Linked DNA regions of Saccharomyces cerevisiae S288C. The gene in region 4 interacts genetically with the main gene of each other region. Each region holds a gene or a part of one and is shown on either strand. Other genes may lie near its edges.

What was found.
Region 1: mutations in YFH7 (region 4) and YLR159W together harm fitness more than expected from each alone (negative genetic interaction), as found in Saccharomyces cerevisiae (one large-scale study listed by BioGRID).
Region 2: mutations in YFH7 (region 4) and AZR1 together harm fitness more than expected from each alone (negative genetic interaction), as found in Saccharomyces cerevisiae (one large-scale study listed by BioGRID).
Region 3: mutations in YFH7 (region 4) and ARR2 together harm fitness more than expected from each alone (negative genetic interaction), as found in Saccharomyces cerevisiae (one large-scale study listed by BioGRID).

What each region holds. Positions count from the first base shown.
Region 1 is NC_001144.5:480,507-488,389, reverse strand, and holds YLR159W (uncharacterized protein), read right to left. Parts: upstream 3,046-7,883; coding exon 2,701-3,045; downstream 1-2,700. Other genes in the region: asparaginase ASP3-4, read left to right, coding at 1,101-2,189; YLR159C-A (uncharacterized protein), read left to right, coding at 2,548-2,679; asparaginase ASP3-3, read left to right, coding at 4,753-5,841; YLR157C-C (uncharacterized protein), read left to right, coding at 6,200-6,331; YLR157W-E (uncharacterized protein), read right to left, coding at 6,353-6,517; YLR157C-A (gag protein), read left to right, coding at 6,789-7,883.
Region 2 is NC_001139.9:941,031-945,147, reverse strand, and holds AZR1 (azole transporter), read right to left. Parts: upstream 2,343-4,117; coding exon 501-2,342; downstream 1-500. Other genes in the region: AMA1 (Ama1p), read right to left, coding at 1-3; phosphatidylinositol-3,5-bisphosphate binding protein HSV2, read left to right, coding at 2,933-4,117. UniProt on the Saccharomyces cerevisiae protein: Transporter protein required for adaptation to high stress imposed by low-chain organic acids, in particular by acetic acid, and for resistance to azoles, especially to ketoconazole and fluconazole.
Region 3 is NC_001148.4:936,135-944,226, reverse strand, and holds ARR2 (Arr2p), read left to right. Parts: upstream 1-4,555; coding exon 4,556-4,948; downstream 4,949-8,092. Other genes in the region: YPR203W (uncharacterized protein), read right to left, coding at 39-347; YPR202W (uncharacterized protein), read right to left, coding at 331-1,028, 1,177-1,195; ARR3 (Arr3p), read right to left, coding at 3,091-4,305; ARR1 (Arr1p), read left to right, coding at 5,195-6,079. UniProt on the Saccharomyces cerevisiae protein: Involved in resistance to arsenic compounds.
Region 4 is NC_001138.5:154,185-162,988, reverse strand, and holds YFH7 (Yfh7p), read right to left. Parts: upstream 3,691-8,804; coding exon 2,629-3,690; downstream 1-2,628. Other genes in the region: putative AAA family ATPase GCN20, read right to left, coding at 1-501; FAR7 (Far7p), read right to left, coding at 1,789-2,454; YFR006W (putative Xaa-Pro dipeptidase), read right to left, coding at 5,237-6,844; mRNA splicing protein SAD1, read left to right, coding at 7,116-8,462; proteasome regulatory particle lid subunit RPN11, read right to left, coding at 8,676-8,804. UniProt on the Saccharomyces cerevisiae protein: ATP-dependent kinase that could be involved in endoplasmic reticulum membrane assembly.

The DNA.
Region 1 (7,883 bases), on a different chromosome or scaffold from region 4:
CGAACCAACGTTAAGGGTTTCAAGTATTGAATTGAACTTTTATGAGTTCTATAATTTCGTTGCGCAAATTCAACTAAACCACCAATATCCCCCCTACAACGCTACACTTTATACCGATAGAGGAATAACGCATAGAGCCTTCGTAGAATTCTTCAACTCGTACGTGATGGGGATTCTAAACCTATCGTCATGTCGCTGTACAAGGCTGCTGCCTGCTTTCAAATTCCCAATTTTACCATGTCCGTTTCGCTGAGCCGAATCGTCACACAAGGTAATTAGTTCTGGGTATCGCTTCAGTATAGCACTGGTTTTTTCCTTGTAAAACCACAGTCTAACAATTAAATGAAGCTTTTCGAAGAAATTAGACCATGTTAGACTGAAAGCAAAGACTCCGGCCCGTTCTGAGGTAAGTTCAATGAAATTGGACAGTTTCTTTTCAAGGTTAGGTTTTGTGTTCGAAAAAAATAGATTACCGCACCTCCTTTCCAAACCCCATGAGTTTCCATTAAGGAAGAGCAACGTCAATAATACCACCTTTTGCAGATGTGATTCAACTCAAGATGCTGTAATCTTTCCCTTCTGACCCTAGATCACCTCATGATATCCTTTTGAGGCAATTAAAGCTGCAGTGTAAACTGTTGAATATCTTTTTGAAACCAAAAAAAAGGACGTTCCACACTTGGCTGCTTTCTTGATAAGCGAGATCTTTACTTGGAGATCTCGCTTAGTCCTCCGAAGGGTAAACCCCGTCTCTTATCTTTAAAAAAATGTATCAGACCCTTCAGCACGTGACAGACAGCAAACTACCAGTCGACGAGGATGCTTTTCCGAAAGTCATGACACAAGGGAAGGACTGTAAGATCGATATCGGCGCAGTCTTATCGGATGTTCCAAGTCCTTGTCTCTTTCATTATCTGCTTGCTATCGCAAAAAAAAAAAAATCAATTTGTTTAATATCAACACATAATGTACAAGAACAAATCATGACATACAAAAGCCATATAAGATGAGTCTTCAAGCAGCACCAAGAGGCCTGAGGCAGAGCAAATGTTGGCTCGCTATTCTTTTGTAAGCAATCTGGTACTCACCAACCTCCAACTATGAGATCTTTAAATACCCTTTTACTTTCTCTCTTTGTCGCAATGTCCAGTGGTGCTCCACTACTAAAAATTCGTGAAGAGAAGAATTCTTCTTTGCCATCAATCAAAATTTTTGGTACCGGCGGTACTATCGCTTCCAAGGGTTCGACAAGTGCAACAACGGCGGGTTATAGCGTGGGATTAACCGTAAATGATTTAATAGAAGCCGTCCCATCTTTAGCTGAGAAGGCAAATCTGGACTATCTTCAAGTGTCTAACGTTGGTTCAAATTCTTTAAACTATACGCATCTGATCCCATTGTATCACGGTATCTCCGAGGCACTAGCCTCTGATGACTACGCTGGTGCGGTTGTCACTCATGGGACCGACACTATGGAGGAGACAGCTTTCTTCTTAGATTTGACCATAAATTCAGAGAAGCCAGTATGTATCGCAGGCGCTATGCGTCCAGCCACTGCCACGTCTGCTGATGGCCCAATGAATTTATATCAAGCAGTGTCTATTGCTGCTTCTGAGAAATCACTGGGTCGTGGCACGATGATCACTCTAAACGATCGTATTGCCTCTGGGTTTTGGACAACGAAAATGAATGCCAACTCTTTAGATACATTCAGAGCGGATGAACAGGGATATTTAGGTTACTTTTCAAATGATGACGTGGAGTTTTACTACCCACCAGTCAAGCCAAATGGATGGCAATTTTTTGACATTTCCAACCTCACAGACCCTTCGGAAATTCCAGAAGTCATTATTCTGTACTCCTATCAAGGCTTGAATCCTGAGCTAATAGTAAAGGCCGTCAAGGACCTGGGCGCAAAAGGTATCGTGTTGGCGGGTTCTGGAGCTGGTTCCTGGACTGCTACGGGTAGTATTGTAAACGAACAACTTTATGAAGAGTATGGTATACCAATTGTTCACAGCAGAAGAACAGCAGATGGTACAGTTCCTCCAGATGATGCCCCAGAGTACGCCATTGGATCTGGCTACCTAAACCCTCAAAAATCGCGTATTTTGCTACAATTATGTTTGTACTCCGGCTACGGCATGGATCAGATTAGGTCTGTTTTTTCTGGCGTCTACGGTGGTTAAAGCCTGATCAGTGACTTTTCATCACACTGTGTTTTTATATAGTTCTTAGTAGTAAATATACTCTATAATTTCTACATCCTTTTCATGATGTGCCAGTTAAGCTATTTTTAGCAAACAAAAAGATGAATTTGAGTATTGAGCACATCATTCACTGTTCAGCTGATACAAAACATATGATTTCTAATATTCACATAGGAAAAATCGCTCCAAACATCGAAGTATCATCGCTACTTTGGTCTTTTATCTGCTTCTCTTCTCTTCGCTCTTTTCACTGCTCGTGCCGCTGCAACGCTCCAACTCAGTTCTATCTCAGCTCCTTCCCCTTATCCCTTGAGCAGTGTCAAGGCGAGGCTGCGTGATGTATTCGTGCGCGAAAAAAAAAACAACTGCAGCACCTGAGTTTCGCGTATGGTCACCCACTACACTACTCGGTCAGGCTCTTACCAGCTTAACTACAGTTGATCGGACGGGAAACGGTGCTTTCTGGTAGATATGGCCGCAACCGAAATAGTTAGGTGTGGCAGCCGTACATATGGAAGCCGGGCGATGGCTCCGCCACGTGCAAAGTGCAGGAGCTTTGGAAAGAGCGTGCATATAGTGATGAAAACAGAGAGCACGGTTGCGAACGGAGGGTCTCACAATGTCTCAAAGGATAAATCTCTTGGTTTGCGGGCCGCATACAAGATATGATTGTAGTTTTTTCAATGGCTCTACTGTCCCACTGCTGTACAACAGAAAATGAGAGATCAGAGAAATAGTATTCCGGAAGCCAGTGGTGTTTACTTATTAGTTTTTTGACGCCACTGCGCGAGTTGCTGCCTAGCTGTTCCTTGGCCAACGCATATTGGAACTTCATTCGACTGATATGCTTACTCAGAGGTCCATTACTTCAAGAATTGTCTCACCTATCGGGCTTGGCGTTTGTACAAGAAGAAACTTTCATCACCTTTGTTTCGCCACCAAATGAAAAAAAAAACTTGCATGGCTTAGGTGGTTCTTTGTCAGAAATATCTTCTAAGGATCAAGAGTCTTACGTGATTCTAATCCCTTGGCAAGTCAGATCTCAAATATGCTCACTCGCAGATGAGTAGCAATGAATGCGACCAAGTGACTAGTGACTGGTGACGACATGAGCCAAGCTGGAACCAGCAGCTTTCACGTCGGCTTATAGCTCTCTATGGGGCAATCAACCACTCATAGTGACTGAAGATCTTTTTAATATAATTACATTGCTAAAAACGTCATACCGCCTTGTGAGCACGATAAACAGCATATGCATTGAGCCTTGTTATTCTTCGGAACTGGGGATAGTAAAATGCGACCCGCTTAGGATGATCAAGCTATCTTTGGGACGGAGTTTTGTCATGGGAGTGGTCATCCTACTGGTGATGCTTCAACATTTGATTTACTAAATTTTGAAATCGGCCGCAGAATAAAACTATTATGTCCAAACAATTGATGGTCGAACCAACGTTAAGGGTTTCAAGTATTGAATTGAACTTTTATGAGTTCTATAATTTCGTTGCGCAAATTCAACTAAACCACCAATATCCCCCCTACAACGCTACACTTTATACCGATAGAGGAATAACGCATAGAGCCTTCGTAGAATTCTTCAACTCGTACGTGATGGGGATTCTAAACCTATCGTCATGTCGCTGTACAAGGCTGCTGCCTGCTTTCAAATTCCCAATTTTACCATGTCCGTTTCGCTGAGCCGAATCGTCACACAAGGTAATTAGTTCTGGGTATCGCTTCAGTATAGCACTGGTTTTTTCCTTGTAAAACCACAGTCTAACAATTAAATGAAGCTTTTCGAAGAAATTAGACCATGTTAGACTGAAAGCAAAGACTCCGGCCCGTTCTGAGGTAAGTTCAATGAAATTGGACAGTTTCTTTTCAAGGTTAGGTTTTGTGTTCGAAAAAAATAGATTACCGCACCTCCTTTCCAAACCCCATGAGTTTCCATTAAGGAAGAGCAACGTCAATAATACCACCTTTTGCAGATGTGATTCAACTCAAGATGCTGTAATCTTTCCCTTCTGACCCTAGATCACCTCATGATATCCTTTTGAGGCAATTAAAGCTGCAGTGTAAACTGTTGAATATCTTTTTGAAACCAAAAAAAAGGACGTTCCACACTTGGCTGCTTTCTTGATAAGCGAGATCTTTACTTGGAGATCTCGCTTAGTCCTCCGAAGGGTAAACCCCGTCTCTTATCTTTAAAAAAATGTATCAGACCCTTCAGCACGTGACAGACAGCAAACTACCAGTCGACGAGGATGCTTTTCCGAAAGTCATGACACAAGGGAAGGACTGTAAGATCGATATCGGCGCAGTCTTATCGGATGTTCCAAGTCCTTGTCTCTTTCATTATCTGCTTGCTATCGCAAAAAAAAAAAAATCAATTTGTTTAATATCAACACATAATGTACAAGAACAAATCATGACATACAAAAGCCATATAAGATGAGTCTTCAAGCAGCACCAAGAGGCCTGAGGCAGAGCAAATGTTGGCTCGCTATTCTTTTGTAAGCAATCTGGTACTCACCAACCTCCAACTATGAGATCTTTAAATACCCTTTTACTTTCTCTCTTTGTCGCAATGTCCAGTGGTGCTCCACTACTAAAAATTCGTGAAGAGAAGAATTCTTCTTTGCCATCAATCAAAATTTTTGGTACCGGCGGTACTATCGCTTCCAAGGGTTCGACAAGTGCAACAACGGCGGGTTATAGCGTGGGATTAACCGTAAATGATTTAATAGAAGCCGTCCCATCTTTAGCTGAGAAGGCAAATCTGGACTATCTTCAAGTGTCTAACGTTGGTTCAAATTCTTTAAACTATACGCATCTGATCCCATTGTATCACGGTATCTCCGAGGCACTAGCCTCTGATGACTACGCTGGTGCGGTTGTCACTCATGGGACCGACACTATGGAGGAGACAGCTTTCTTCTTAGATTTGACCATAAATTCAGAGAAGCCAGTATGTATCGCAGGCGCTATGCGTCCAGCCACTGCCACGTCTGCTGATGGCCCAATGAATTTATATCAAGCAGTGTCTATTGCTGCTTCTGAGAAATCACTGGGTCGTGGCACGATGATCACTCTAAACGATCGTATTGCCTCTGGGTTTTGGACAACGAAAATGAATGCCAACTCTTTAGATACATTCAGAGCGGATGAACAGGGATATTTAGGTTACTTTTCAAATGATGACGTGGAGTTTTACTACCCACCAGTCAAGCCAAATGGATGGCAATTTTTTGACATTTCCAACCTCACAGACCCTTCGGAAATTCCAGAAGTCATTATTCTGTACTCCTATCAAGGCTTGAATCCTGAGCTAATAGTAAAGGCCGTCAAGGACCTGGGCGCAAAAGGTATCGTGTTGGCGGGTTCTGGAGCTGGTTCCTGGACTGCTACGGGTAGTATTGTAAACGAACAACTTTATGAAGAGTATGGTATACCAATTGTTCACAGCAGAAGAACAGCAGATGGTACAGTTCCTCCAGATGATGCCCCAGAGTACGCCATTGGATCTGGCTACCTAAACCCTCAAAAATCGCGTATTTTGCTACAATTATGTTTGTACTCCGGCTACGGCATGGATCAGATTAGGTCTGTTTTTTCTGGCGTCTACGGTGGTTAAAGCCTGATCAGTGACTTTTCATCACACTGTGTTTTTATATAGTTCTTAGTAGTAAATATACTCTATAATTTCTACATCCTTTTCATGATGTGCCAGTTAAGCTATTTTTAGCAAACAAAAAGATGAATTTGAGTATTGAGCACATCATTCACTGTTCAGCTGATACAAAACATATGATTTCTAATATTCACATAGGAAAAATCGCTCCAAACATCGAAGTATCATCGCTACTTTGGTCTTTTATCTGCTTCTCTTCTCTTCGCTCTTTTCACTGCTCGTGCCGCTGCAACGCTCCAACTCAGTTCTATCTCAGCTCCTTCCCCTTATCCCTTGAGCAGTGTCAAGGCGAGGCTGCGTGATGTATTCGTGCGCGAAAAAAAAAACAACTGCAGCACCTGAGTTTCGCGTATGGTCACCCACTACACTACTCGGTCAGGCTCTTACCAGCTTAACTACAGTTGATCGGACGGGAAACGGTGCTTTCTGGTAGATATGGCCGCAACCGAAATAGTTAGGTGTGGCAGCCGTACATATGGAAGCCGGGCGATGGCTCCGCCACGTGCAAAGTGCAGGAGCTTTGGAAAGAGCGTGCATATAGTGATGAAAACAGAGAGCACGGTTGCGAACGGAGGGTCTCACAATGTCTCAAAGTGTTGGAATAGAAATCAACTATCATCTACTAACTAGTATTTACATTACTAGTATATTATCATATACGGTGTTAGAAGATGACGCAAATGATGAGAAATAGTCATCTAAATTAGTGGAAGCTGAAACGCAAGGATTGATAATGTAATAGGATCAATGAATATAAACATATAAAACGGAATGAGGAATAATCGTAATATTAGTATGTAGAAATATAGATTCCATTTTGAGGATTCCTATATCCTCGAGGAGAACTTCTAGTATATTCTGTATACCTAATATTATAGCCTTTATCAACAATGGAATCCCAACAATTATCTCAACATTCACCCATTTCTCATGGTAGCGCCTGTGCTTCGGTTACTTCTAAGGAAGTCCACACAAATCAAGATCCGTTAGACGTTTCAGCTTCCAAAACAGAAGAATGTGAGAAGGCTTCCACTAAGGCTAACTCTCAACAGACAACAACACCTGCTTCATCAGCTGTTCCAGAGAACCCCCATCATGCCTCTCCTCAACCTGCTTCAGTACCACCTCCACAGAATGGGCCGTACCCACAGCAGTGCATGATGACCCAAAACCAAGCCAATCCATCTGGTTGGTCATTTTACGGACACCCATCTATGATTCCGTATACACCTTATCAAATGTCGCCTATGTACTTTCCACCTGGGCCACAATCACAGTTTCCGCAGTATCCATCATCAGTTGGAACGCCTCTGAGCACTCCATCACCTGAGTCAGGTAATACATTTACTGATTCATCCTCAGCGGACTCTGATATGACATCCACTAAAAAATATGTCAGACCACCACCAATGTTAACCTCACCTAATGACTTTCCAAATTGGGTTAAAACATACATCAAATTTTTACAAAACTCGAATCTCGGTGGTATTATTCCGACAGTAAACGGAAAACCCGTACGTCAGATCACTGATGATGAACTCACCTTCTTGTATAACACTTTTCAAATATTTGCTCCCTCTCAATTCCTACCTACCTGGGTCAAAGACATCCTATCCGTTGATTATACGGATATCATGAAAATTCTTTCCAAAAGTATTGAAAAAATGCAATCTGATACCCAAGAGGCAAACGACATTGTGACCCTGGCAAATTTGCAATATAATGGCAGTACACCTGCAGATGCATTTGAAACAAAAGTCACAAACATTATCGACAGACTGAACAATAATGGCATTCATATCAATAACAAGGTCGCATGCCAATTAATTATGAGAGGTCTATCTGGCGAATATAAATTTTTACGCTACACACGTCATCGACATCTAAATATGACAGTCGCTGAACTGTTCTTAGATATCCATGCTATTTATGAAGAACAACAGGGATCGAGAAACAGCAAACCTAATTACAGGAGAAATCTGAGT
Region 2 (4,117 bases), on a different chromosome or scaffold from region 4:
CATATTTTTTTCTTTTTTTCTGATCCAAAGTTTTGTAAAACTTTAAAAGAGTTATATAAGCAAGTATTATTATCGTTGGAGGAAGAAAATTTGACCTTCCTTCAACTTTTGATTTTTTATTTTTTTGTTTCCAAGGATTAAAGTGTTCTTTGAGTACTAATCGTTCATCATTTTATTTTATTTTTGGCGCCTTAAAAATGGAACAAGGCAGACGCCGAAAAATACAAAAACAAAAGTCGAAATAAAAAGGGAAACTTCTATTGAAGGTGACATAGAGGCATTGACGCTCTTGCTATATGAACGTCGTTTATCATACCAGTATAAAAATCTAAATTAACTATTTAATAGCTGTACTCATACTGTCTCGGATTACCCTCTTACTGTTATCGTTAGTTGTGGTACACAATTCAGCAAGCTAAACAGCCAATTACTAAAAGTCATGTTTATTTTTTCTGCAGCTTTACACTTTGAGGCTCGCCACCTTCTAAATCGTGCTTAACTTATCTCAGGCTTGCTGTGACTTTCTTATTTGAAGCAAAAACAGCAAAAATGAGAGATAATGCATAAAATCCTAATGCCATGTAAAAGACGTCAGTGAGAGATTCAGAAATTATATTGCCCAATTTGGAATGAGAGCCATCGAAATTGGTCTGCCTATAGATTACCAGATTGTCTACCGTGGTACCATCTGGGAGCTGAATATTAGCCTTGGTTAATTTCTTGATAGCAGCAGCACTGAAAACAGTGTTAGAGATGACACCTCCCAGTGCTTGACCTAGATTTTTGCAAAATGTGTTAAAAGTGGTAATAGAGACAAAATCTGATCGAAAAGTTGGGCTCTTCTTGTCTAACTGAATTTGAGAAGCGAGCATGGAACTTTGTGCCAAACCACCGAAAGCAACGCCAGGTAATATCAAAAGGCCGATGTGAGCAGAGTTATTGGCATTATTGTTCAATAGGGTTAATATACCCGCACCAACAACACCAAAAATGCTTGAAATAACAATAATCGGTTTGATTTGGCGGGTTTTGTCGGTGATAGCACCGCAAAGTATTGCTGTAACGACTGTAGAAATAATGCAAGCAACCAGGTGTACAGCGGCTCTCCAGGCGGAATCATTGTAAATTAATTGGAAGTATTGCACAATATACGTAAACTGACTGATATATCCTGCACAAGTGAGAAACAAGGCTATATTAACCGTGAAAATACCTGGTTTCTTGATATTTGTCCATGACATTAATGGTTGGTAATGTGGTGTTGCTTTCACTATATTAAATTTGGGGAAGACAAGGAAATCATAGATACCTGCTAACACTACCAGGACTATACCGATGATGAAAAGAATAATGATGGATGCAGAGTTCCAAGCATACCGGTTACCGCCAAATGTGAAAGCCAATAGAATACATGTGAATCCAGCTGAACAAAACACAAACTCGATAATATCATACATGAAAATCAATTCCATGAACGGCTTTCTCCACCCATTAAGTTTGCTAAACCCTTTGATTTTCAATAAATGATATGCTACATTCCGAACAATTTCGATAAACTGTGATGGAAATTTGCGGATGTTATCCATTGTCTCTTGAAATGTACTTAAACCTGGGTTATAAAAGAACAGGAATAAGAAAAATGCTAGGCCACCGATCGGTAAATTAACATAGAAGCACCATCTCCATGTGACGCTGGAGGTGAAAACTCCTCCAAGGAAAGGCCCAACAACAGATGCAATAGCAAACGAACAACTCAAAACAGCAATTAGTATGCCTCTCTGCGACTCCTCTACCAGGGTTGAACCAATGACGAACGATAAACTTTGAATACCACAACCGCCGACTCCAGCAATAACTCTACCACCAATGAGCATACTCATTGAATTTGCTAAAGCAGAGATCAGCGACCCGATTTCAAAAATGACAATAGCAAATAGCATGGTCTCCTTGAATCCGATAGGTGTGGCAATTCTTCCCCATATCAACGCCAACAGAGCGTTTGGTAAGCTATACCCGGTAAATAACCACCCGATCTCAGAGTACGATCCAAACTGTTTAGCTACTTCTTCAATGATTGTAGAAACTATCATGATATCCAAGGCTGCCAGAAACAGCGACAAAGCCAATGCTATCAAAGATGCGTACAAGATAAACCCTTTAGGTAGTTCATTACTTTCGCTGGCGTTGTCCTCGAGCACCACGCTCACGTTTTGTTTTGATGTTGACTGCGTAGAATTTCGTCTCACAACATATTGTTTTTGCTGTTTCTCGTTCTGTTGTTGTGCTTTCTCACCGTAGTATGAGAGGTCGCTCATGCTGTAAGTCTTAGGTTCGCCTTTCATTGGGCTGCAATTTAGATACTAATGTAGACGTGGTGTTACTACAATTGTAGAAGAAAAGATACAAGATTTAAAGGACGTTGCAAGAGGGTACGGAAACTCTAGCATTATATATAATCAATTGATACAGTGCCGATTCTTTGATATAAGACATTTTTCTTTAAATTAATGTAGTGGTTCTGCTTGACACTTTTTATTGTATTTCCAGCCATAGCATATAGAAGCGCGGAAATACAGCGGATATCCGCTAGTTGGCGGAAATAATGCAAATTGGTAAGATCCTATGGTAACAGTGCAAGAAAGGGGCCTGAGTTAAAAAGAGAAAATGAGCCTATCCTAATGATGATAGCCAGGTTCATATTAACGTTGTTTACCTTTGTGTTCAAGATCAGGGGCTTTTGGCAGTATCTGAGCGAAATGAAATAAAGAAATTGATAATCACGTGATCACGGCTTTCTGGCTTGTAAAGCCGGTTATATTTATTTACCTTAGTAATACGTACTGCGGGGGCTATTGTTAAAGGGAAGAGAAACCAGAAGATCTGGAAAGGCAGCGATTATTAGAGGACAACTATAAGCATACATAACTAGCAGATGGATGTTCGTCGACCTATAAGGGAGGCAGTCAACAACAGGAGGAAACCAAAATTTTTGAGCGTTTCGTTTAACCAAGATGATTCGTGTTTCAGCGTGGCGTTAGAGAATGGATTTCGTATTTTCAATACAGATCCATTGACTAGTAAGCTATCGAAAACATTTAAAGAGTCTGCGACCAACCAATCCAGGGGCACTGGGATTGGCTATACCAGGATGCTTTATCGTACGAATTACATCGCACTAGTCGGAGGTGGTAAACGACCAAGGCATGCTCTAAATAAACTGATCATCTGGGATGATCTTTTGCAAAAGGAAACGATTACTTTGAAGTTTATGTCTTCCATTAAAGACGTGTTTTTATCTAGGATTCATATTGTGGTAGTCCTGGAGAACACAATAGAGATCTTCCAATTTCAAACCAATCCTCAAAGAATTTGTCCTATTTTGGATATCCCTCCCAATGGATCAGTGGACTATGTCGTTTGTAGCAGCAAACATCTCCAGTCGCAAGCATCGCAGTCACAGTCTAAAATCTTAGAAATCATTGCATTCCCATCGAATAAATGCGTAGGCCAAATTCAAGTAGCCGACCTATCACAAATAAAATATAATTCACAAAACCCGAAGGAATCAGCGCTTTTGCCCACTTCCATCATTAAAGCACATAAAAATCCCATCAAACTGGTTAGACTGAACCGTCAAGGCACCATGGTAGCAACATGTTCCGTCCAGGGTACACTTATAAGAATCTTCAGTACGCATAACGGTACTTTAATCAAAGAATTTAGAAGAGGGGTGGACAAGGCGGATATTTACGAGATGAGTTTCAGCCCCAATGGTAGTAAGTTGGCCGTATTGTCAAATAAGCAAACATTGCATATTTTCCAAATTTTTGAAACAACCAATACAGAAACGAATACACCAGACCACTCTCGTGCCAATGGTTCGAGCCATCCCTTGAAAAATTATATACCGAAGGGCCTATGGAGGCCCAAGTATTTGGACTCTGTGTGGTCGATATGCAATGCTCACTTAAAGAACCCAATCTTTGACGCTCACAGAAATGACAACAGTGGTGATGTAACTCACGATAACGAGTTCTATAAAGACAGATGTAGAATTGGCTGGTGTCAAGACTCTAATAATAGAGAACAAGACGATTCGTTGGTTCTGGTGTGGCAA
Region 3 (8,092 bases), on a different chromosome or scaffold from region 4:
ATTTTTGAGAGCCGCGGTCATTTTGTTAGTATCTCTTCTCAACTTGGGCAGCACACATGCAAAACATCACCCAATCGGTCCTTTTTGTTCATCATATCGTTACATATCTGTGAAAAGTACTTTATCTCAATGGGTTTACGTGGGCATAGATCACGCTTCAGCCGCTCTGTGTCGACTTTCTTTTCGCCAGGTAAACTTGCTTGGTATGCAGAAAAAATCGATAGCTCATCTACGTGTAGTAACAAAAACATGTGGGGTGCCAAATTGTACCCATATTTCCTTATGGTGCTTTTCTGAAGACTCCTTACAATAGGTGCGCCAGAAACAAAGTCAGTGAAAGTACGCATCGTAGAGCTGTCGTTCGGCCTGGCACTCGCTATTTCGTGACAACGTTCCAGGACACGGAAAACTCAACTCATTATAGTATCCTCTGTTGAGGTAAAAAAGAGAAAGGGTATCGTAATCCTTTCTATTGAATTTCAAAGTATGCACTTGAAACAACGTGTAGACCATCAAGTTGATTTTCTTGGGAATAAGATACTTTGAAGGGATTGGTCCGCCCTGGAAATCTGGTTCGTCTTCAACAAATGTCAGGAACTTTTGTACATTTTTCCCGACCATGACGGAAATGACAATTTTTTCAAAAGACCTTTTCCTATCCATTGCACCAGTTCTGAATTTTACCACTTTGATTAGGCCAGACTTTTCGTCTTCGTAGAATGACCGCACTTCCGTGGGGATCGATTCAAATAAAGTTATTGAGGGACAATGTACCAAGTCGTTTTTGTTATTTAGAGCCGACTCAAACTCGTCAAAGTTTGCTTTTTCAAACTTACGCCTATCGGAAACTTTCATTTTATTTTTGTAAGTTTCGAAATTAACAATAGTATGTTGATTGTTATGCTTTTTGACAAGAAATCCATCAATATAAACAAAAGATTGTCCAGTTTCCGTCTTATCATCATCTGAGAATGTAATAATTAAGCTATTGAGAAGATGCAGAATCTGCGCTATGCAGGTGCAAATCTCTAGCAGCAGCAAAGTAAATTCAGTTAGTAAGCAATCTCACTAAGATAAGCGACTGTCTGTCCCCTTCAAGCACAACATAGAAAACAGAAGGATGTCTCATTCATCGCTTGATTTCCGGCCTGCAAAAATAAAGTAGTCGGTACGTACGTTCGTTTTCAATTTCCATGGTGCACAGTATCTTAACTATCTGCTTAGTCGAGGAGAACCAGGATTCTGTTCGTTGCTCAGCCGCTTCGTGGATATTCTCTTGGATACTTTAAACATGGACCTACGCTTAGCCTGCGCTTAGCCTACAACTTCTTCCGCTCTCGAAAAGACCAATATAATAAAAAGTTATAAATTACATTTCCTTATTAGGTATACGACCTCACGCTTCGAAGTAAAGGAGCCTACCACTCTATACCACCACTACCACCACCGCCACTTGCCACACTCACCTTCACTTCTACTGATATGTCATACGCACACGGATGCTACAGTATATACCATCTCAAACTTACCCTACTTTCATATTCCACACCATGGCCCCATTCTCACTAAATCAGTACTAGATGCACTCACATCATTATGCACGGCACTTGCCTCAGCGGTCTATACCCTGTGCCATTCACCCATAAAGCCCATGATTATCCACATTTTAATATCTACATCTCATTTTGCGGTTCCAAATATTGTATAACTGCACCATATACTAACCACTCAATTTATACACACTTATGTCAATATAACCACAAAATCACCACCAAAATCACCTAAACATAAAAATTAACCATTCATTAATGAGAAGATATAAACATACTAAATATTAACATAATTGAAATATCGTAAACATAACACCCTATTCATTAAATTGTCTATTACTTGTGCCATTTACCCATAACATTCATGATCATCCACATTTTAATTTTCTAAAATTGATCACAGAACCTCCATTATCATATCAATACTCTCAACTTCATGCTTTATAACGTTTTCATACAAATTAACCACTATAAGGTATCATAGCTATTTGCATTCTCATCACCTTTCAGTGAATTCCAATTTAATAGCAGAATATACTCGCGCAGCTGCTATGGTGCGTTTTTAATCTCTCCCCACCTTGGTATTCTATAATTATGCATACATGGTCTTGTGGTATCTTTGATATCGAATAGTTTATGCTTGCAATTTCAGCCTAATAATGGCGACATAAGACGTGTCCTCATGTCGCTATTCAAACGCAACTACAAGATCTTCTTACTCCCTATACTCATTCCCGGTGCCACTATATAACACCACTATGCTATACTATAATAGCAATACACATTAACGCAGATGCTATAATATCTTTACTTCATCTCACCAACTCAACTGATAATCATACAGACAGTACTATACAATACAGTCATTTACTAAAACGAATGCCGCTCCATGATATCCCAAACTTATACTGGCACCATTTTGAAACATTATATGTCACCTCTTCATCCTAATGACTTCAACTTCATGCATTATAAAATGGCAGCTACACGTACTTATGCGGGTACTACGACATAAGCTTATCTTGTCCTATTTCGTTACGTTAATTTTAATTAGACACTAGATGCACGAATTCCATTTTTATGCGAATGATCTATGAAGCCATTGTTGTACCATCACCATGTGCTATTCCATCGGGCTTACAATACTTGGGTTTAAAGCATTACTAATCTTGCAGGAAAATCTCAAAAATGACATACAATACGCAATAATAATTTTTCAGCGAGTTTCTAATTCAAAGACATTGTATTTAGAAGTGATGTACGTAACACAGTTTGCCACTTGAGTTCATTAGACTTTCAAAAATGCAATAGTAAGATTACGTCCCCTTCTTACTGAACTCCAAAACTGTGCGGAGTTTTTGAATGATGCGGGATGGCGTGAACAAACCCATTTTTTCATCCTAACCATCACTAAGATCAATCAGTTGTCCTTCAAAAAAAATTGTCAATTTTATCTGTTTTTAGGGTGAACTTGGATTAATATAGAGTTATAAGTGGTATTATTCATTGGTGCCCAAGTAATTTTTTGGTGAGTCAACAATTAATTTCTATTGTTCCATATATAATATGGTTTAAGGATCCTCGCGACTATTGCCAAAATCAATAAAATTGGAACTTCTAGCAACGGCCCAAATGTTGCAGCTATTGCTTGCTTGCTATTGTTACCATATAAGGAAATAGCAATTGCCAGGGATAGTTCAAAATTATTTGAAGCCATAGTGAAACATTGCGTCATCGTAATAGAAAAGCTAGCTTCACAAGACTTTCTTCCCCAGACCCTCTTTAAAAGTAGTTCTTGGTCACAGCTACATTCTCTTTGTGTATCACTCCTAGATATTGATAAGTACCTCATTAATGCGAAGGTCAAAAACCATGCAATAAAGAAGTAAAGCACCAATGGGACAAAGCACAATATTGCAGAACCAATTTCGTGGATAAATTGATAACCTCTACTAATAAAAATAACAAATAAAGTGTAATGAAATCCGATCATTGCCCATGGAGAAATAAATCTCAAAATGTATTTTTCATAATTACTTTTACCAGCTATGGTAAGACTTCCCAAACGTATGATAATGCCAATTCCCAGTGGTATGCCGAGAAAAACTCCGACAGACTTTGCAACCTCTTCGAATAATACCCTATTTGAAGTATTCAGGTGGTCATGAGAAATAACATAACAGTAAAATATCTGCAATGGTGCATATAATACCATCTGTAAAAGCGAGTTTGTAATAACAAGCACGACGCAGAGATCATTGTCTCCTCCAGCAATCTGATTCCAAATTAGCACCATGGCAATGCATCTAGCTACTCCGATCATAATAATGCCTTGACGGTATTCCTTATAATCGAATAGCGCCATCCACGCCAATGCTGTCATCAACAAAGGACCGATGACCCAATTCAAAAATAACGAGAGGGCTAGTTGCTTCCTTATATAGCTCCTGTAGAAGTACTTGTGAATAGACTCCCAGGAAACTTTGCAGATCGGGGGAATCATCATTACAATCATACCAACAGTCAAAGGAATGGACACTCCCATTAGATTGGGATGACCTTCAGCGTCAAAAGTGTGACGGGAAGAAGGCACATAGACAGAAATTATTACTGCAATGATTATGGAGAGAATTATAGTAAATGGCAACATCAAGTCAAGCCATGACAATGACTTGATCGTAGTCAGTATATCGGTGCGATTCACCATATTAACCTTAGAAGGTACCGAATTTTCACTTTTTTGATCTTCTGACATTATTCTACTAACCTGATGATTTGTTGGTTGGGTTCTCTTGAATTACAACGAGAGCATTCATTTATATTCTTTTCCGTTTACATTATAATTATGTAAGGAGCGTTGCCGCTAAAGTTGATTATTAATCAAACAAAAAGATAATTAAGAGCATTCAAAATTTGATTTTAAATCAACACTTTTGAAAAGTCGGTATAAAAACTAATGTATAACAAACTAATATTGAGGAAAACTTGACAATCCAGCAAGCGTAATGGTAAGTTTCATAACGTCTAGGCAACTCAAGGGCCTAATTGAAAATCAGAGGAAGGATTTTCAAGTTGTTGATCTTCGAAGAGAAGATTTTGCACGTGATCATATTACAAACGCTTGGCATGTTCCAGTAACAGCACAGATTACAGAGAAGCAACTGAATCAATTAATTAAAGGTTTATCCGATACTTTCTCAAGTTCTCAATTCGTCAAAGTGATATTTCATTGTACTGGGTCCAAGAATAGGGGACCAAAAGTAGCTGCTAAATTCGAAACCTACTTACAAGAAGAAGATATTACAAGTAAGTTTGAGAGTTGCATCCTCGTTGGAGGTTTTTACGCTTGGGAGACCCATTGTAGAGAGAGTAACCTTAAATTGATTGTTAGTGGTTGAGCTCCTCAAGCTTTATTGTTCCAGCATTAATGTAAAAGTCTTTTCAATATTTTATGTACGGCAAAACTTTTTAATTCCATTTTTTTTTTTTTTTTCGTTTCTTTTCTTATTAAATTAAATATAATTATAATTATAATATTCCTATCTTTACAAAATCATATTAGTATATAATTCTAGCATGCGGATGGTCTTTAAGGAGCGGCCGTTGAAAAAACATGTCAAAACGGAAGATAAGTGACCAAGATAATGGCAAAACCGCGTGGAAGAAAAGGCGGCAGGAAGCCTTCACTTACTCCACCTAAAAATAAGAGAGCTGCGCAACTTAGAGCATCCCAAAACGCATTTAGAAAACGAAAGTTGGAAAGATTAGAAGAACTAGAGAAGAAAGAAGCTCAGCTAACGGTAACAAATGATCAAATTCACATATTAAAGAAGGAAAATGAACTTCTCCATTTTATGTTGAGGAGTCTTTTGACTGAGAGGAACATGCCTTCTGATGAACGGAACATTAGTAAGGCCTGTTGTGAAGAAAAACCGCCCACATGTAACACTCTCGATGGTAGTGTGGTTCTTTCCTCCACATATAATTCCCTTGAAATACAACAATGCTACGTATTTTTCAAGCAACTGCTCTCAGTGTGTGTTGGAAAGAATTGTACAGTGCCGTCACCGTTGAATTCCTTTGATCGGTCCTTCTATCCCATAGGCTGTACGAATCTCTCAAATGACATACCAGGCTATTCTTTTCTAAATGATGCAATGAGTGAGATTCATACGTTTGGTGACTTTAATGGGGAACTTGATAGTACCTTTTTGGAGTTTAGTGGGACTGAAATAAAGGAGCCAAATAATTTCATTACTGAAAACACTAATGCAATAGAAACAGCGGCAGCGAGCATGGTGATTAGGCAGGGTTTCCATCCAAGACAGTATTATACAGTGGATGCTTTTGGAGGGGACGTCCTATTAAGTGCGATGGATATTTGGAGTTTTATGAAAGTGCATCCAAAGGTTAACACATTTGACCTTGAAATTTTGGGAACAGAACTTAAGAAAAGTGCTACGTGTTCTAATTTTGATATTTTAATTAGCCTCAAGCATTTCATTAAGGTCTTTTCGTCAAAATTATAATATTCTTCCTGTAAGCACAGCGCAACATTGTCTTTCTTATTGTTAATATATAAGTTAAAAGCCGAATTTTTCATTTATTTATATAGATGGCGTGAAGATTATTACGGTCAGATACCTTCGCCTATTTATGTACTTGCATGCGTTTAGATTTTATTGGAAAAAGTATTAATTTATCGTCTATCGACTAGTATTCACGTTACTAGTATATTCTGTATAGTTAATGATAGAGCCTTTATTTAAAATGGAAGTCCAATAACTATTTCAAAATCAAATTATATGTCAAAGATGTTCAACAAATTGGGAAGGCAAGAGGCGAGCACTAGGCCTGATACCCTTCTTAATGCCTTGACATACACGTGTCTATTTCTTTTTTCTTGTCGAGGTATTGAGGTATTGACCAATGCTGAATGCTTGATAATGTAATTAGGGATCGCGTACGACAAGTTTCAGCAATTGTTAGGGTGTTATTTTCATTGTTCCCGATTATGAGCACAATATGGCGGTCTTGTACTAGGATAACTTGGGCGTATGTTTCACTATACTAGAACCATGATTTTATCAGTGTAGAACAAATGCTGAAACTTTGATTCAAATACAAACATTTACTAAAACACTGTAATACGATCGATGTGGAGTATTCGATGAATATTTTTCATGTTTACGTTTATATAATTCCTTTCCAAACGCTTTTCGTCGATTAACTTGGAATTCTTCATAACATTGATTGGAACCCTTAGTTATCCATTCACCATGGAAAAGGTTTGAGAAAACTTTTTATAACTTTGTTGTAAACATATTATAGTAAAGTAGAAGAGCCTCTGCTATGCATGGTTAAGTAAAATTGCAATGTGCACGCAAGTATACATATATTGTAATTGATCGAAAAGAAGTTAAGAAATTTTTAATTACTAATGATTAATGGAAAGGAAAGGTCTTTTCTCATTTCGTTTTGTCATGATGTTCACAATAAGGGATATCAAGTAATCGGGCAACGCAAGTTAAACAGTTGCCAATTTGGAGCTGATATTTGATGGAATTTTTTTGGACTATTACAAATTGATTTATCGTCCTTCGTATGGACGTATCCATGGCAGTTTATTGGTTAGTTTCAGGTCTTTTTACGTAAGGAAGAATGCAATTAGTAGGTCACAGAACATAAGCGATAATGATTTCCAATTTCTGTATGTACTTATAAGCGTTCGTCAAAGCAGCTCTTTTAAGATTTCCCGAGTATAAGTTTAATAAAATATAAAGAATCATACCATTGGATGGATACAAAACAAAAAACAAGGGGACCTACCAATTTTTAATCATTCAAGATTGTTCTGACACTACCAGTCAAAGTCAATGGGTCCAGCGTACAACTCAGGGGGGCAATCCATTAAGAGAACATCAATGAGATTTTTTTGAGAAATTGATGAAGTTGCACAGAAAACGAATAGGTACCTCTTTGAGCAGACAATGTTTGGAAGATTTCTGAGTTTTTTTATAAGAGTGGTCATCTAGTAACTGATACTTCATCAGCCTTGTATTTTAAAAAAATTCCTATTCTTTTGGTCATTGACATTTGAACTATTGCTATGTATAGAAAAAACACAACCGGCCAATACCAATAATCCTTCAGTGTCAGCATGAGTATTCACATATCCACATAGGAGCTGTAAGCCCGAAAAGTATCGATAAACTAGTTGAAAGAAAGTAACACTGAAAGGGCGGCAAAAAGAAAATGCCTTTACTAGCTATAGTTCAAGACTCACGATCTCTATTGTTCCAATATTGGAGATGGAATAATCCAAGGATTATCAATGTCCCGCTTTTTATATTTCACCTTTTCAGGCATCAGAGTTTGTGGAATGACGGGAAAAATCAACATCAGATCCTCGAGAGTTTATTAACAGTTTTATTGATATTATATACGATTATATTATCCCAACCCACAAAACAGTATTTTCAACAGAAGTGGTAATTTTTCTGTATTTAATGTACGGAAAGTAAAGCTACCACCTTTCTGTG
Region 4 (8,804 bases):
TTTAGAAGCCTCGTATTTAACAAATTTGTTATTTCTCTTGGCGACTTTCTTTGCGATCTTTTGTTCAGCCTTGGCCAGTTTTTTCAAATCAACTCTTGTTTCCATCTTTCTACCAGTATGTTCGATGTCACCGTTCACACCCAGCATGCTTAATGAGACGTTGATATCGGATTTACTGTTATGACTCTTTAAGACATTAATATCAAGTAATCTCTTGGACGTATCACCGGTCAATTCCAATTTGGCTTCGTTCTCCTTTAGTTGAGTAGTCAATTGCTTCAAAATACTTTCCGATAGTTCTTTAACTTTAGCCTTTGACGCACCCGCATCAATCAATAAATCGGACACAAATTGCACTTCAGTGGACAAATCTACCTGCTTACTTTGAACAGCATCAAAAGTTATTCCGGACAAGTGGTTAAAGTAGCCCACTGCGTAATCCGTGACGATAGGGTCAATACTAGAAGCAGCTTTTCTCACTTGCGAACCGATGCTTGCCATTTCAAAAAAGTTATTTACCTTTTGTGCTATGAATCGAAGTTAACGTTTTAGCGCTTCAAAACGACTAGTCTTAGCTAGCTTACTGCAGAATATATATTTCTCTTTTCAAATGTCTTTCATTTTCTACTAGATCTAATAATACGAAAAATTTTCAGGAACAAAAAAATAAAAATCAGAAAAAAAAGAAACTGCGCAAGCCCGGAATCGAACCGGGGGCCCAACGATGGCAACGTTGGATTTTACCACTAAACCACTTGCGCTTGTTTTCTTGTGAAAACTATCCTTGGATAAATCAATAATAATGTTTGTAACTTCTCTAACCAATTTGAGATGTAACGAATGATAATTAGTGTGTTGGAATAAAAATCCACTATCGTCTATCAACTAATAGTTATATTATCAATATATTATCATATACGGTGTAAAGATGATGACATAAGTTATGAGAAGCTGTCATCGAAGTTAGAGGAAGCTGAAGTGCAAGGATTGATAATGCAATAGGATAATGAAACATATAAAACGGAATGAGGAATAATCGTAATATTAGTATGTAGAAATATAGATTCCATTTCGAGGATTCCTATATCATCGAGGAGAACTTCTAGTATATCCTGTATACATAATATTATGGCCTTTATCAACAATGGAATCCCAACAATTATCTCAAAATTCGCCAAATAGTCAAGTATTATAGCCTTGATCAATAATGGGATCCAATAATTATTAAACTATTCACCCAATCTTCACAGATCTTCTAGTCAACGAGGGAAAATCCATATTTCTAAATAGTATTATTTATCCTTGCACTTCAACTTCCATTGAAGCTGATGATTGTTTCTTAATTTTCATGTTATCTTCTGGCAGCGTATATGAGATTATACTAATTATATGAAAATATATTAATAGTATAGATACTAATCGGTAAACGATAATCGACTCTCATCACAACAAAATGCTTTTGCAAATATTGAGGAAATTATATATGTTTATTAAACATATATATCCTGTGTATTTATAGAGGCTTTCCTCCAACATTTTATTATTTTTGGCAAATAATACAGTAGCTTAGGATATCTTACGCACGCAACTGCAGGAAAAGAACGTCAAGACATTCTGTGAGTTGTTTTCCCGCAAAATGTTCCACCGTCGTTACTTTTTCAATTTCATAAACATATATCAGAATGGAAAAAGCCTTCATAAATGAGCTTCGAATTTTTGCGCAATCTCGAATATAAGAAGCATGTATATTTGTCATCTTGCTTTCATTGGAAGCAAAAGGGCAAAGTTTCAATCTTGTGCATGTAACCTCAGTAGTAATCTATAAGTGTGAGATATATCTGTCAATTTTTGCAGACCATTAACATTTTCCAAATACATCTTGAACTCTTCATCTTCGAGGGGAATTGTCTCCGTCTGGAATTTCTGCCTAATCAATTTGATAGTCTCTTTATGATGCATTAGAATGTTTCCTCTTAATTGGGCGACAATGTAATTTAAAGAGTCTTCGGAGTAAGACAATAAATCCATGGATTCAAGGGTTACCTGCTTGGATTCCTGTAAACTTTTCCGGAGCATTGAATTTTGGCGCTTCAACACTCCTAGCATAACGTCATCTTTCGCATTTTCATCCAGATTGTTGCTTAGTTGCTCTTTCTCAGTAATAGGAGCTTTCCCTCTTTGTTCTAGAAATCTATTAAATAATGCAATATTTTCCGTGGTATCGTGAGGTTCTTCAGATGTCTCATACTTGTTTAAGCTTCCGGATAATATGTCTATGTTCCTTAGTATTTTCGCCTTTTCTGCTTGATTTTCCCTCAACTGTTTCACTAGCTTGTTAACTAACAAGTACATATGATTCAAGTTTTCTGCTTGAGGAGACATATATACTTGCTGCTGCTGCTGCTGCTGCTGTTGTTGTTGTTGCATTGACAAAACGTTGATTTGGTCACTCATATCTAAACCTTGGCTTGAACTTCTTGTAGAATCAATATGTATTACTTCCCATATATGTCGTAATAAAGGGCACCTCTGCAGAGTTCATAAAGAATGCCGTTTTTGCTTGCGCGCCTTAATTATCTGTATTCAGTTCGATTTTACAAAAATATATACAAGGTTCCGCCTAACCTTCTAGTCGTTGCGGATATGGACGATATTATCTACCTTAATTAAATGATTATCTATATCCCTGCCATTCAACAAATCATTGCTGCGAAACTTCTCTCGTCCTTCTGCAATAGTCGTGACTAACCCTGATTGCAAATGCCTTTTGGCCACCCTTTCTTCGGTGGCCTCATAGTCTATGTCAATCTTATAAACAAGAAGTGCTCCCGTATCAGCTAATGTTTTGTAAATTTTCTTCCAGTTTTCTTGGTCATACAGTAGGTATAACCCTTCAAGTATAACTATCCTTGTAAATTTGGAAATACAGTACTGATCTGGAGTTGGGTCTTTTAGTGCATGGTTAAATCCTGGAACAAAGATATCAGGAATTGTTTGGCTAAAAGTTTTGGATAACTTCTCAAAAACGCTTGAAGTGGAGTAAAATTTATGATGTGAGGAGACCTTACATAGGGACGTCTTGGCTAGAATTTTACACAATTGTAAGAAATTGTTACTGTCAAACGTTGAGGGCGAACCTCTTCTTTTATGGGCAGTTTGTGGGTCTTTGAATAGGTCTAGACATCTGCGAGATAAGTGAAAACCATCCATTGGGACTATTTGCGCTATATTGATACTATCCTGGGCCAACTTGTTAACATTGACTGGATTATCAACTGCTGCGATTCTTATGGCATTCGCAGTACCACCTCTGGCAACTACTGCGGTACATTCTTCATTATTTGATGTAAGGGCTGAGTACTTGACTGGTTGAAAATTAACATCCTCAACATGATCTTTAAACAGCCCCTGATTTTCAATCATTTCAGCTACTTTATTGGGCTGGAGCGTCTTTAAAGAGTCTACTAGGTTAACCATAGGTTTCAACCTATCATTAACCTCAATAACATTTGGATGCTCTGACAAAAATGTGTGATATTTTTCATTTATAATTTGACAAAGTTCTTCCGCAATAGTAGACTTACCGGAGCCTGGAGAACCGACTAGGATAACACAAACCCTATAATTATCTTCGATACGGTTATCCAATAGCTGAAGAACGTCGTCTGCTAGTTTATGCGTATCGACCATTGTGGCTAGAATGATCCTCTGGTATGATACAGGATAAAATATGTATAGTACTAGTGAAATTAACCTAACAAGGTTACTTCATTTTTCCCGAAGAGCAATACTTGATGATGCTTAAAGGTACGCATTTAATGAACGAAAAATAACACAGTTCGTTTGAGTAAAAAGAAAGCTCACAAAATTTAATACAGAAAAAAAATTATATGTAAACTGTGGACAAGTCTGATAAGCCCAGATAACCCTTCTATTTCACGAAGGTGCAAGTGCGATTGAAAAGAATTGTTTCATGGCATTAGCTATCAGGACACGAATGCATAATCGTCAAGATATTATCGGTATGCAGCAGTTGAAGTTGTTATTAATGTTATAAGGCACCATCATATGTGGCTTTGGGATGATCTTCCGCCGATTGGTGTTCATATTACAAAAATTTTATCACGCTCGAGGTTAGAAGATGGCATCAATTATGAGGCATGAATAACAAGGTTTAAGCACTAGTAATCATAGCGGATGCTGAAACGCCAAGGTTAATGAGTTCATAAGATTAACGAATAACGAGAACTTAGGTATGAGTCAAAATTTTACTTTCATAATAGATTTATCGAAAATGTGATCAATTTTCTGAATAATTTGATAACTGTTGGGATTGCATTGTTGATCAAGACCATAATATTATGTACACAGAATATGCTAGAAGTCTCCTCGAGGATGTAGGAATCCTCAAAATGGAATCGGTAGTTCTACATAATAATATTACGATTATTCCCCATTCCGTTTTATATGTTTCATTATGCTATTACATTATCAATCTTGCATTTCAGCTTCCATTAGGGTTGATAACTGTTTCTCAACTTTTATGTCATCTTCCTGAACCGCATATGATAATATGCCAATAACATGAATATTACCAAATGGATGGCATTTCAAATTATTACTTTAACAAAAAGGAACCAAATAACTCATATAATAATTACCTATTTCTCAAATAGGTGGACGACGGTTTATCCAATTCCAACAATAATAGTAATTACTAATATTATGTAGATTTTTCGATCCAAGTCCTCGAGGGCGACTCATAGGAATGCTATCTTCAATCAACAATGACATCCGAATAATTATCTCAAGTTTTACAACATTCTCAAATATTATGGTAAAAAGAAAACTTTGCAATCTGCAAAATTCTCGAATTCTGAATCGCTAGATTTCCTTATGAGAAAAGTCACATTTAAAGGTGTTAGCAGCTAGTTATTATAGTCCTATAGTTCCTGTAACAATGAATTTTTCATAAATAGAAGCGGATTTAGCTCAGTTGGGAGAGCGCCAGACTGAAGAAAAAACTTCGGTCAAGTTATCTGGAGGTCCTGTGTTCGATCCACAGAATTCGCATTCATTTTTTGCTCTTCGGGGTTGGTCCTTAATTTTTTCAGTGCCATTCCTTATATTTCCAAATCTAGTTAAATGGTGAATCCAAGATTATAAAAAAAATATACAATTCTGTGTACAAAAGAATATACTAAACTTCTAGAAGCGAGTAAAAAAAAGTTAATACCTAAACGATTACGTGGAAACCTGAACGGGGTTTCTTCAAACCTTTTTGAACGATTTTTTCAATTTCATCAGGGTCAGAAGTAATACCAGTTAAGTTCTCGTAACCATCTTTGGTAACAAGGATATCATCTTCAATTCTAACACCACCGACATACATGTATCTTTTCAATACGCTCATATCGACAACTTCCAATCTTTCGGGGTGCTTTTCCAAAAATTCTTTGATCAAAAATTGATTAAAGTAGCAACCTGGTTCATTAGTGATAACCATATTTTCTTTCAAAGGACGGCGGATTCTTAAATATCTAAACATTGGATCTGGGTCGTCATAGTTTGGATTACCACCAACGTCGTGTACATCAAGCCCCAACATATGCCCTAGTCCATGGGGATAAAAAGCGCAAGAAGCTCTTCTTTTAAAGATTTCGTCCTCAGAAAACTCTTTCTTGAAAATACCCATACTTAAGAAATGTTTAATAAGAACCTTGTGTGTCAGTGCATGTAAATCGTCCCATTTAGCACCAGGTTTAATCCTTTCCATTGCTTGGTTTTGCATGTCAAGAACGGTTTCGTAAACTTCACGATGTTCCGCAGTAAACTTGCCTGAAGTTGGGAAACATCTGGTGATATCACTTGTATATTGTCTCCATTCTGCACCTGCATCAATTAAGATGGAATGTTTACCTTTGATATCTTCTGAATTCTTGACGTAATGTAAAGTGCCACATGCCGGTCCAGAACAACAAATGGGGTCATAGCCCAAAGAACGACCACCTTGACGGGTTGCATGGTATTCAAATTCAGCTTGTATTTGTAACTCGTTCAGTTCGATGGGCAACGCGGACATAACGGCCAAATGGCTCTTGTCTGAAATCTGACAAGCTTTTCTGATGCTTTCAATTTCATACCAATCCTTAATTGCTCTAGTTTCATCCATAGCATAAAAGAAGTTAGGGTCTGAAGGAATTAGTGATCTTGCAATATTCTCGTCATGAACATTGTCCAAATCGGTTGTAAAGATAGCGAAGTCTTGCAATTCTTTAAATTTTTTCCCCAGATCAGATATGTACAAGGCCTCATCAATGTCAAACACTCTCATTGCCTCATCCAAACTCAAAGGCATACCGCTCCATATGACATCTTCTTCATCGATGTTTGGCAAAAACAATGTCAGCTTATCTGTGCTACAGTTAAACAATATCGCCGAAGCAGGTATATCAACACCTGACAAATGATAAAAATATCTATTCTGTCTAAAATCTTTGTTGGTGTCACAATACTTGTTTCCCTCTAATTCTTCACCAGCAATAAAAAATGCTGTGGATATCTTTGATAGCTTCGGATTGCGATTTAACAACAAATCTTTAACCCTCAAGTTATGTTCTTTCGCAGGATACTTATGATTTCTTATCTTGACCGGAATTTCATTTACGTTTGCTACCTCGCCCATTTCTTCCCCTTTTTCTTTACTGTAATAATACTTATCTTTGTACTCTGGCTGTAAAATTCCTCTTGTTCTTTGCCGTTCTCCACGTTTGAAATACTTCACCAAGCCAAAGAAAAACACCAGGGATCCGAAAACAACAAGAGAGATTGGTTCAAGGCACATCACTCCAACAACAGATCAGGTATATACCTATATTTCCCAGGTTTTCCTACAGCTCGACCTGGAAAAAAGATGACACAGTTTCTGAAGAATCGCCGTAGCGGAAAGTGTCAATTGAACCTCCCTCGCGTATAGTAAGCAATGCCAAAAAAAAAAAAAAAACTGGAAAATCTTGATAAAAAAATGACGAAATAGGAAAAAAAATTGGCAGCAATCTAACCATGCTCTTCATGGTTCATCATTTAGTGGGCGTTAACCTAAAGCGCTGTTTATAATGGAGGTTGATAACAAAAGGAGACATTCAGAAGATGAGTTAAAACAGGAGGCAGTAAAAAAGATAAAGTCTCAGGAACCAAACTATGCCTATCTTGAGACTGTAGTAAGAGAAAAACTAGATTTCGATTCTGAGAAAATTTGCTGCATTACTCTGTCCCCTTTGAATGTATATTGTTGCCTCGTGTGTGGACATTATTATCAGGGGAGACATGAAAAGAGTCCTGCTTTCATACATTCAATTGATGAAAACCATCACGTCTTCTTGAATTTGACAAGTTTGAAGTTTTACATGTTGCCGCAAAATGTCCAAATTTTACATGACGGTGAGGTTCAATTGTTGAACAGCATAAAATTTGCAGCTTATCCGACTTATTGTCCAAAAGATCTAGAAGATTTTCCGAGACAGTGTTTTGATTTGAGCAATCGCACATATCTGAATGGATTTATAGGGTTCACCAATGCGGCAACTTATGACTATGCGCATAGTGTATTGCTTTTGATATCGCACATGGTTCCAGTGCGGGACCACTTCCTACTGAATCATTTTGATAATCAAGGGGAATTTATCAAAAGGTTATCCATATGTGTAAAGAAAATTTGGTCCCCTAAACTATTCAAACATCATCTTTCAGTTGACGATTTTGTATCCTATTTGAAAGTTAGAGAAGGTTTAAATTTAAATCCTATAGACCCGCGTCTCTTCCTTTTGTGGCTATTCAATAAAATTTGCTCGTCCTCGAACGACTTAAAGTCAATTTTAAACCATTCTTGTAAAGGCAAAGTAAAGATAGCAAAAGTTGAAAATAAGCCTGAGGCCAGTGAGTCTGTTACAGGAAAAGTCATTGTCAAACCATTTTGGGTTCTGACTCTCGATTTGCCGGAGTTTTCACCCTTTGAAGATGGCAACAGCGTTGATGATCTCCCACAAATAAATATCACTAAATTATTGACTAAATTTACTAAGTCAAGAAGCTCCTCTACTAGCACCGTTTTTGAACTAACGCGATTACCGCAGTTTTTAATATTTCATTTCAATAGGTTTGACCGTAACAGTGATCATCCTGTCAAAAATAGAAACCAAACGTTGGTGGAATTTTCCAGTGAACTTGAAATTTTGCACGTCAAGTATCGCTTAAAAGCAAATGTGGTCCATGTGGTCATTAAACAACCATCCACAGATGGAAACGCATTTAATGGTGATGAAAAAAGCCATTGGATTACTCAGCTGTATGATAACAAAAGTGAAAAATGGATAGAAATAGATGGCATAAATACGACAGAGAGAGAAGCCGAGCTTTTATTTTTGAAGGAAACGTTTATACAAGTATGGGAAAAGCAAGAGTGAAAGAAAAGAAAGTAAAAAAAAAAATTGGCACTGGGACTACCAGTAGCCATTTCATTTTTACTGTTATTTAAGGAGCCTTTTCCCTCCTAACGCGTTTTCTCTTTCCCATTCATTCCATTAACTACTTCATTAGAATTTTTAGAAAAATACAATATAATATATATGTAGTGGGCTTTCTAGTTATTTAATGCATAATGACTTTATAAAATTTGTTTATTTAATTGCCACTGAATTAACACCCGCCGTCAGCACAGAAACAATATTGTTCTCTAGTGTCTCATCTGCTGTTTCGGAAAGGTGCTTCTTTGGATCTTGCCTACCAACGTATCTTGTCTTAAGTTC